Danio rerio: one gene and its partners. The protein of the gene in region 1 interacts with the protein of each later gene in a biochemical or structural test. Links are inferred from orthologs where the notes say so. Each region holds a gene or a part of one and is shown in the gene's direction. Other genes may lie near its edges.

Region 1 (3,657 bases):
TGTTTTAGGTTGCTGAAAGAATCATTTGCTCCTTTGTTTTTTCGGGCTTCTCCTGTTTATCCATTTCTGAAAGAATCTGATGTCAGAAGCACTTCAGTAATCACACGCATGTTGTTATCATCAGCTCAAGAAGTTCGTTAATTCAAATATAAACGCGCATGCGAGGATCGCAAGCTCTCTAGAGAAAGTGAAACCGCTCGAGCTTTTAAACAACCTCGTAAAACAACAACAGGACACGGCAGATTTTGTTCTTTTTGGCTTTGTGGCTTATCAAGACATTCAGCTGTGCATCTGGCTCCGCCTTTTGGTACCCTTTTTTTTTTGCTAAGTACCCTAGGGTACCCAAAAATTTGTACAGTACGGTTCGCTTTTTGGTACCTTTTCGACAGTGAAAATGGCCATAAAAGCGCACCGCACCCTACCGTACCACTAAGTGAAAACTGGCCATTTATTTTTACCTCTGAGTTTACCTTTGGGCCACTCCAGACAATAGATGAACAGCAACTACTGTGGAGGTGGAGATAAAGATAGTAAGGTCCCATCTGAATGGTCAAATTTAGATAAATCACCACTGCATAAAATTGTGCGATTACTTGTATTGCATATCCTATTATCGCAATAACCATAATTTTGTGATATATAGTGCAACCCTACTCCATGATATATTTTTTTCATTTAGCAACTTAAATCTGAGTAAGTGTGCACTGACTTATTCTACATAACTGTTTACTTATTGAACTGTACATACCCACTGCATATGGGCATTTGTAATTATGTACACACCCACTATACATATACACTTGTAATCATGCTTATTTATCTGCATACTACTGATTATTAATAGCAACCTGCACATATATTCATATATTGTTACATATACACTTGTGATCATGTTTATCTATCCCTGTACATATATTCATATATTGTAACATATACACTTGTAATCAAGTTTATTTATCTGCACACTACTGATTATTAATAGCAACCTGCACATATATTCATATATTGTAACATATACACTTGTAATCATGTTTATCTATCTGCACACTACTGATTATTAATAGCAACCTGCACATATATTCATATATTGTAAATCTGTTCATAGCTTATCCAACCTGTATATAATGTTCATAGTACATCCATTCCATCTGTAAATATCACCATAGTTTTCTATAACTGCACTTTATAACTTATTCCTGTATCCTGCACTTGCTGCTATTGCACTGCTGGTTAGACCTAAACTGCATTTCGTTGCATTGTACTTGTACATGTGTAATGACAATAAAGTTGAATCTAATCTAATCTAATATCTCCATTTTGGGAGATCATCATCCACAATGCTGTTGTGGTGTTTTAAGTATTATTGCTGTTTCTACAGGTACACCCCAGTCGGACGTTCATTCTTCACTCCATCGGAGGGCTGCTCTAACCCTCTTGGTGGAGGAAGAGAAGTTTGGTTTGGTTTTCATCAGTCTGTTCGGCCATCACTCTGGAAGATGATGCTCAACATTGATGGTAAGATTGCACTGACCGTATTCGTTGGACTTGATTTTGCACTTTGCTAATGATTTCTCTGTATAATCGTTTTTAGTGTCTGCCACTGCGTTCTACAAAGCTCAACCCGTCATTGAATTCATGTGTGAGGTTTTGGATTTTAAAAGCATCGAAGAGCAGCAAAAGCCCTTAACAGATTCCCAAAGAGTGAAGTTTACCAAGGAGATCAAGGGTAATTTCTTACAGTGGTCATTGACATTTACAACGGCTTTTATGGAGTTTATTTTGGGATAATGTGAATTTTGCATTCATTTTACAGGTTTGAAGGTTGAAATTACTCACTGTGGACAAATGAAGAGGAAGTACAGAGTGTGTAATGTGACGAGAAGACCAGCCAGCCATCAAACGTAAGATTTGACGACACAATTTCTAACTTGCTGTAGTAAAGAATTTTTAGGACAACATACTTATTCAAAATTGTATTTCAATTGTATGAAAAGTTCTCTGATTTATATCCCAAAGCAGCTTAAGCAATCAATTAAATTTATATCAAGCAAGCAACACATGCACACACATAGATTTGGGGTGTAGCACATTTCCCACATGCCATATTTTAAACATTTCTAAACAATTTTTATACTTAAGTTTTTTTTTTTGACTATTTTCATTTTTTTTTTAAATGCATTTTATATTCCTTTTTTAAACTCCAATACTGGTCAGTTTAAAGGATTTAATGTAGATCAAGGGGAATTAAATGCATGTATAAAATGTTTGGAAAAGTTTTATTTAGAAATACTGGCTTATTTTACACTATTTCTGGACATCTAAACACCAGTGTCTTAACATGGTTTTAATCTCAGTACCATGGCCCCTCACTGTAACGTGGTTCAGCTATCGTGGCCTCACATTTTCGCAGATTTTTTATTTTCTTTTGTGCAATTTGACTTTTTTTTTTTATGCGTCCTGATTGGCTGTAGACCATTGTCAATCAATCTCCTTCATGTCTCCTGTACCGTACAGAATGCATTCAGCTTGACAAATTAACATAAATCTTTGATCGCTATCAGTGTGAGTTTTAACAAGGATGCCCCACAGCGCCTTGCATTTTAGAATTGTAAATATAGGTTTCTATCAGGGTTTATATAGGTTTCTCAAGCTCCCAGCGTCGCCCAGATATGACTCGGGACTGTTCATATTTTTGCCGTGGCACAGAGCGCCGTCTGAATAATTTAATTTTAAGTAACATGCAAATGTGCGTGTACTGTGTGCGTTACTTCCAACTGTCATGTGCGAGGCGCATCCGGTGTGCAATCCCCTTAAGAATGGAGTCTGCTTAAGTTTTTTGAATCAGTGACTGCACGAAAAAGAACATTACACTGGATGCCAACATTATCCGCACAAAAGCTAAAAAGCTTTATAAACGTTTTGCTAACAGTGATGAATGTTTGCGTCTGACAGCAGGTTTTGATCTTTGGTTTTATTCTATAACACTGAACTTATTTTTCTGGACTTTTTTTTTTTTTTTTTTACTTTGAGAGTGTTTAAACAAGAGAAAAGAGTGAAAATGCTAATTCCTGTCTGAGAAAAATGTGTAGTAAGGGATTTTACAGCCTTAAAGCATCTATAATAATTGTACAAAAAATAATAAAGCTGACTACAAGGATTTCGCCTGTTGAGAGTTATTTTTAGAATGCAACTCCCGCAAATAAAGAGGGACCTCTGTACACCCAAAAAATATTTTTGCTTCTTGTTCAAACTGCTTATTTAATATAAGCTGAAAAAACACTAAAAAAAGCAGGACAAATTTAATGCATTAAACTTGACGGATTTGTGTTGAGACCACATGGTTGAATTGTGTGGAACCATGCGTTTTGTATAGTGTATTCTATTTTTTGTCATCACATTTAATATTTCTCATTGAAAGATTCATTATTTTGAAGCTGATGTCTTTAAAATGTATTTTGTTTGTCTCTAGGTTTCCTTTGCAGCAAGAGAATGGTCAGACCATTGAATGCACTGTCGCCCAGTACTTCAAGGATAAGTACAAACTGGTGCTTCGATACCCACATCTCCCATGTTTACAAGTTGGTCAGGAGCAGAAACACACCTACCTTCCGTTGGAGGTTGGTTGAAACCACATCCTGGACTTGCTTTTCCCCCTTT
Region 2 (3,657 bases), on another chromosome or scaffold:
GCATATCTTGAAGATTTTATTTTATTTCAGATCCAAGCCAGGGCCCTGTGGGTCCAGCTGCTCCCTCACTGCCCCATACGTCATCCGCCTCATCAATCGCTGCTTCTTCTTCTTCAAATTATGCAAATTCCATGTGGGGGACCAGCTCTGGCAGCCATCCCCTCTCTCAGGGCAGGGAAAAGGTGATAGTGGACCGGTCAGACCTGGAGGAATGGCCCAGTATTGCTGCTGGGGATGGATCAAAGTCAGGGGATGCAGCAGGTACAGGAGGTACAGACAGTGGTGCGATTCTGAACTGCAATGCCTCGTGGGGTGAGAGGCATCTCCAGCAGCAAGCGAAAGTTGTGGGAGGAGGGAACGGAAGGAAAGGAGTCAATTCTGGCAGTCCCTCTCCGCCCACATCCTCTGGATCACCCAATGAATGTATGCAGTCTGGTAGTGTTTGGGCTTCATCCTCCCATGAACTCATAGGGGGGAATGCAGTAGCAGCAGGCTCATTGCCCCCCATATCCAAAGCTGCCCCTCTCCCAGGGAGCTCTGATAGCTCCTTTGGTGTCAGCTGTGGGATTCCAGGTGCCAATTTTACCCCTAATGCCAATCCCTCTGCTTGGCCAGCCCTAGTACAGGAAGGGGCTGGGACAGTTGCAACAGAGGGTGGCTCCTCTTCCCTCCAAAGCTCATCTTTGTCTGCCAGCAACCCTCTTTCTGTGAATCAAGCCTCTCATCAGCACCAACTTCACCAAATGCAATCCAGAGACAGAGAGCCATCCTGTGGAGAATGGGGTGGCACAGCACTGGAACCAGGAGCAGGACCAAAAAACACTGGGGTGACAGAGGGGGCTGATATGGACTCTGGAAGCACAGGTGGAGGAGCAGGCTCTGCTTCGTCTTCCTCCTCCACCAGCTCATCATTGTGGAGAACTCAGCCTTTCCCTGCAAACTTCAAAACGGGTGCCTCAAGGACTGAATCTTGGGATGATGGAGCAGGAGGGAGCTCCTTGTCTGCTGAAGGTGGGAAGGCATGGGGATATCCCGGCCAGGACGATCGAGGAGATTTGACGGGGGCAGGTGCCTGGGGAACAGGAAGTGGGGGTCAGACCCCCGGGGTATCTCAGGGAGCGTGGGGTGGGGACCATTTGTTGGGTGGGGAATGGGGGGCATCCAGTGGTGTTGGAGGTGTCAGTGATCAAGGTGGGAAAGACGGCTCAAGCAGTAACAGCAGCAGTAGTGGTGGTAGTGTCAGCATCCCGACGACAACCTCCTCCACACCTTCAACTATGACAAGAGCTTGGGACAATCAGAAAGCAGTTGGGGATGTGGGAGCAGGAGATTTGAGTGAGTGGGGAGGCCAGGGTAGCAGAGGTGGGGAAGGTACCTCATCCTCCAGTGGTGGAGGAAACTCCAGAAGTGGCAATCAGCGCCATGGCCACCACCGCACTCATAAGCCTCCTGACCCTGAAGTGGCCTTACAGGATCTGCTTAGCCGGTCGGATCTGGACCCCAGAGTGCTGTCCAATACTGGTTGGGGTCAGACACAAATCCGTCAGAATGTGGCATGGGATTTGGAAGATGGAGGCAGAGCAAAAGCACCTGGTGGTGCAAATTCTTTGTCTATTGGTGCATCTGCTCATGCCCAGCCATACTCTGGTCCTAGTGGGAGCACAACTACTGATCCATCTTCCCCCTCTCTGCTCCAAGCTGCATCTCTAAATGCCAACTTAAACTCAAACTCCATCCTTGGACCACCCGCAGTTTCATCTGGTGAAGGTTGGGACAACAGTAGTAGCAACAGCAGTTCTTTGCATACCCGAGGCCCTCCACCCTCAGGTGTCAATATCCAAAACCCTAGCGTCTCACAATCTGGAGGTGGAGGAGGTAGCTCAGCTGGTGGGCAGGGCATGCCATCTGGGGGTTGGGGAGGGACTGCATCATCAGAAGGCCAAGTAAAGGGCTGGGAAAGCGAGGGACATGAGTGGCGAGAACGGCGAGCAGGAGGTTCGTCAGGTGGGTGGGGAGATTTCCAAACACAGGGTACTCCATCAACAGGAGGAAGTGGCTGGGGAGATAGTCAGGAGGAGAAAGGAACAAGATCAAGTGGATGGAAAGAAATGGGGAGGGTGGATGCAGGCAGCTGGGGACCGAGAGGTACCAGCGACTGGGGAGAAAAAGAGTCTAAATCGTGTAGTGGGGGGTGGGATGGAAAGGGTGGTGGAGGTACTAGTGGAGACTCAGAAGTGGGTACATGGGGTAATTGGGATGATGGAACTCCTGGAGGGACATGGGGAGGGGTGGGTGGAGACATGGGTGGAAAATCTCACCAAGGTTGGGGTGGGAAGATGCACCCTTCACAAATGCCAAACAGCCAATCAGCCTCACAGAAAGGCCCGGCACAGCAGCAGCAGCAACCACAATCACAGCCTCAGCAGTGTCAGTCAGTGGACACAGGGGCCATGCAAGGGGGCTGGGGAAGACCAGCAGGTCCTTCAGTCCAGAGCCAAAGTTCAGGGTGGAATTCAGGGCCTATACCCCAAATTTCCAATGGCCCTGGAGAGACTTCAGAGCCCAGCGGTTGGGAGGAGCCTTCTCCACAGTCCATCAGCAGGAAAATGGAAATTGATGATGGAACATCTGCTTGGGGTGACCCCAGCAACTACAACTACAAAAGTGTCAACTTGTGGGATAAAAACAATGCCCCATCTGGCCAGGCACAATCAGTGTCCCCTCAGCAGGGCCCCCCACCCCTGCAACAGCCGCCACCAGGAAGAATGCCAACAGGTCTTGGGAATAGGGACATGAACATTGCACATTCAGCAAGCAAGGGGCCAGGAATAGGTAAAAGACTTGTTTTATTCAAATTATAGTTTCATTTAACCATTGTCAAAACAGTTGAAATTCAGCATCAAACACCCAAACTAAAAAAAGGTCTCAGCATATCTTAAAAACAAATTAAAAAAAAAAAATTAATTCTTTTATTTATATTTTAGCTTCTGGGTGGGGAGGTCGTGGCTCTCCTTCCAGTCCTTGTGTGGACAATGGTACTTCAGCCTGGGGTAAACCTACTGAAGCTCCCACTGGTTGGGATGACAGTGGCAAGGCCTCAAGTTGGGGGGATCCCTCATCCAATCCAGTGAAGTCTGGTGAGTCTAGATTTTAAAATAATTGCGGTGGTTTTTTGATCACTTTCAATCGTGAATGTATTGATATTTCTGAACAGTTTAAAGGTAGATAGTAAAATTCTAAACAGTTTAATGTTGATATTTTTACAGGTTCAAAGTCTATGCAAGAAGGTTGGGTAGAAGGAGAGGGTTCAGTCAGTGCTTCGCGTAACCCTAGCTGGGAGGAGGAGGATGAGAGTGGTGGTGTTTGGAATAGTGCTGGTTCCCAAGGCAGCAGCTCTTCATATAATTCTGGAGGCTGGGGAGCCAAAAAGGGCAACAAGGTATGTCATTGGTCAGACTAGGGAACAATATTTATACAAATCTGGAAACTAATCAGGATCTTTATATCTGGTTAATACATTACATTTTTTTCAGGGCTCCTTGAAGGGTGCAGGAGATTCTTGGATGAACCCAATGTCAAGACAGTTTTCAAATATGGGAATTTTGGTAAGAACATTTAGTATTATATTGGTGTATAATGTGGCTCAAGTTAATAAAA
Region 3 (3,757 bases), on another chromosome or scaffold:
ATTTAACTTAAATTTTTGCATTTACTTTAAATAAATATAAAAAATAAAATAAAAATAAAAAACTTTTATTGTAAAATAAATAAATTATTTTGTGGAATTTTCTTTATAAACGTCAGAATGTTAAAAGACAAATCCTTTCTTATAGAGCATTAAAAGTAACCTAACCTGCCTAGATAACCTAATTAACCCAGTTAAACCTTTAAATGTCACTTTAAGCTGTAAGTGTCTTGAAAAATATCCAGTCAAATATCATGTACTGTCATCATGGCTAGATAAGATAAATCAGTTATTAGAAATGAGTTATTAAAATTATTATGTTTAGAAATGTGTTGAAAAAAATCTTCTCTCAGTTATATTATAAGTGAATATATTTTGAGTATTTCATCTTTATTGTTTTGAGACCCAGCGTTAAAATAAACCATGAATAAACAAACAATAAAAAGAAAACATAAGAAATAAAAAAATAAAACTCAAATAAAACACAAACTATAGGAACAAAGACTAACATATTCCGTTACAAACATGTCTGGGGTGAAATATGCATGAGAAAAGTTAAATAGGAAAAATTATTAAATTAGAAATTTAACTGGAATGACACAATATACACAGGCTACTTGTGAATATCAAACGAAAGACAGTACCAACAAACATTTAAAAATATCAACAGTCAGTGTTGGGGGTAATATATTACAAGTAATGCGATTTACGTAATAATATTATTTTTCCAAGTAACGAGTAAAGTAGTGCATTACTTGTTATAATATTTTATTTATTTTGAAAATGTAACACAAGTTACTTTTTATTGTAATTAATCAGCTTTAAAAATATTAAAATGCTGAATTAAAAGTGAAGTAGTCAAAATAAATTACACAATCAATGGGAGAATGCGTTCATTATTTTGAAAAGGAGACTGTCTTAACGGACAATGATACTTCAGAAAAATAGTACAAAAGTAGCAAACACATTGCTTTAAACTTTTGATAATCTGTATATACTGCATGCATAGCCCTGGCATAAGGAATTCTCAGAAAACATTATCCTAAAATATTTTTGATGTGTTTTTTAAAGGTAAATGTAGGTTTTACAGTGTGTTATTAATTACAGAGCTCCTCTATTTAAAAAAAAGATAGAAAAAAAAAGTTCTGAAAGAGATCAAGCCTCAGCCAGGTATTTAAAAGTTACGCAAAAATAACTCAGTAACGTAACACATTACTTAACTTACCATAAAAAATAACTAACGCAACTAGTTACTTTTGGGGAAATAACTCAATAATGTAATGCATTACGTTACTTAAAAGTAACTATCATCAAATTCTGCTATTTTAGTGTGAGTAAAAGCGCTACATTTTCTTCAAACATCCATACTGCCTACAAGTGCGACTTTTATTTTGAAGTAGCAGAATCTCTTTGGATTTGTTGTGTAGTTAGCAGTGCTCGCAGTTTCCGCGTTGTTTGCAGTAGCGGGCTTCACATGCGTGCAGTAGCCTGACAACAGCAGCAGCAGCAGGAGGGAATGGGGAGAGAGGGGCTCCGCACCGTTTAACAAGACACTCTTCAGCACAACACGACCATTAAAACAATTCACCATCGGTGAGCACTAGCCTCAATCTACAAGCACCTCCCGCGCTGATCGCTTATGTTTGTTTTTCCTCTCAGGATCTTGAAATAATCAATAAAATCAGCCGAAGCTAACACGAGCTCGCGTGCTAACCTCTGCCAGCCTAAAAACCGAACTGTCCGGTGTACATTTGGTTGGGAACTGTCCGTGCGTTCAACCTTTGACCGTGTAAATGCAATAACGTACGTGCTTCGTTACATGAGGGTTTTAAATGAGGTAAATCAATGTATGGTGTTTAATTCTTGCGTGACGATGCCTTTTTAGCTACACGCGTCTGCTAGCCTCAAACGTTAGAAGACTGATTCACATGGCAGGCGTATACTGAATATGAGCACAGTTTGAGATCTGGGGATGCACTTCATGTGTAATCAGAGATTAGCATTAGCGCAGAAGTCGCGTTAATGGTTGGCAAACTGACAGATGCATGATTTTTTTTGGAGGGGGGCTCGGGTGTGTTGCTGGCCAAGGCCAAGGTCGCGATGAGGCCTAACTGATTTGCATGATTAAAAATCTTTAGGGTATGGTGATATATTTAGATGCTTCTGTGATTGTTAAGGTGTTCATAGTGCCGTAAATATGTTGCTGGAGGGCATTGATTTTCATCTGCGTGGCATTTGTTTGTGTAAGAAGCATTATTGTTGTGTGTGGGGTACGTTAGTCTCGTATTGAAGTGTTTTCTTTTTATTTTAGAATCAAGTCAGTGTGGTATTAAAAGGGATAGTTCACCCTAAAAGGAAATTTATGTTGTTATTTGCTCATCCACTTTAGGTTTAGGACAAAACCTGTCCAACCCCAAAACAATTTACAAAGGAATGCTGAAAAAACTTAGTGAGGTGAAGTTGGTTTTGTATTCCTTCATTTTAATGGTTTCTGTATTGTTTGCCATGCTACTTTGAATATTCGATCTGAAATTGCATTTAAGTATGATTTTAAAACAACATTAGCACTATTTTATTGACGCATTTAAAGGGGATAGTTCACCCAAAAATGAAAATTATGTTGTCATTTGTTCATTTACATGTTCCAATCCAAATTCTTTAGTTGAACACAAACAAAGATACTAAAGAATGCTGAAATAACTTACTGAGGTAAAGTTGATTTTATATTCGTGCATTCGTTCATTTTAATTGTTCCTTTAATTGTTTACAACTCTATTTTGAATATTCGATCTGAAATTGCATTTAAGTGTGACTTTAAAACAACGTTAGCAATAGGGGTGTGCGATTTATTAAAATCGAATCGCAATTTGATAGAGGCTGCAATATAAAATGCATATGTAAACAAATAACATCTTCAAAACCAGTCCGCTATGCTTCAGAAGATTAAACATGCTAGCTAGACTTTCTGAGATGGTGTCATGAGGCATCACAAACATGGTATCGGTTAGAACTGCACGATTCTGGCTAAAATGAGAATCACATTTCTTTGCTTAAAATAAAGATCACGATTTTCTCACAATTTTGTAGATGTAAAATAAAGGTATGGTAAAAACAAACATATGGCACAACCTCAATAATAATATTATGTGTAGGTCTACTGGTTTATATAAATAATTCTATTCTATATTAATCTATTCTTATAATAATTCTTATGTTGAATGATTATGTTTGAGATATATGCTTGCAATCTGTCATATTAGACAATTTAATTCACTGGTAAAATCAGACATTTGCCATTATCAGATTTTATTAAAGAATATATAGGCTAGAGTAGTTATACTGACATTGTAAACATTTATTTTCATGCACAACTGTGAGTTCGCTATGAAAGAAAAAACATATCAAATGCTTGTCGTTATCATAACTCTAAAATGCGATATGATCATTAAATGAAGTGCACACTTTGTTTCATTTTGATTGCGAAGTGCTTGTTCATACTTTGCGCGCGGCTCCCAAACGATCACTCTGTGCCACAAACTGAATATTATTAAGAACTTTATTACCTGTTACTCGCAACATACGCAGGTTCTGTTGACTAAAGTAGACGCACCCCTCTCTGTGATAACAGCTTACGTCACGTATGATTTCCTGATCGTGAAAACATTATATTAAAACAAAAATAATATTTTTAGGTGAATAATACCTTATAAATACAGTATGTGACTCATTCAACATCATTTAGAGGTGTCAATGTCACTAA

What was found.
Region 2: the proteins of ago2 (region 1) and tnrc6ba form a complex in vitro, tested with the Homo sapiens proteins (3 studies listed by BioGRID and IntAct, with this or other methods). The link is inferred for Danio rerio from reciprocal best matches to the Homo sapiens genes AGO2 and TNRC6B.
Region 3: the proteins of ago2 (region 1) and dicer1 form a complex in vitro, tested with the Homo sapiens proteins (2 studies listed by BioGRID and IntAct). The link is inferred for Danio rerio from reciprocal best matches to the Homo sapiens genes AGO2 and DICER1.

What each region holds. Positions count from the first base shown.
Region 1 is NC_133194.1:44,207,411-44,211,067, forward strand, and holds part of ago2 (protein argonaute-2), read left to right. Parts: intron 1-1,378; coding exon 1,379-1,515; intron 1,516-1,591; coding exon 1,592-1,726; intron 1,727-1,813; coding exon 1,814-1,901; intron 1,902-3,469; coding exon 3,470-3,617; intron 3,618-3,657.
Region 2 is NC_133187.1:20,949,967-20,953,623, forward strand, and holds part of tnrc6ba (trinucleotide repeat-containing gene 6B protein), read left to right. Parts: intron 1-30; coding exon 31-2,832; intron 2,833-2,984; coding exon 2,985-3,137; intron 3,138-3,266; coding exon 3,267-3,439; intron 3,440-3,533; coding exon 3,534-3,605; intron 3,606-3,657.
Region 3 is NC_133192.1:20,755,057-20,758,813, reverse strand, and holds the start of dicer1 (endoribonuclease Dicer), read left to right. Parts: upstream 1-1,489; 5' UTR 1,490-1,786; intron 1,787-3,757. UniProt on the Homo sapiens protein: Double-stranded RNA (dsRNA) endoribonuclease playing a central role in short dsRNA-mediated post-transcriptional gene silencing.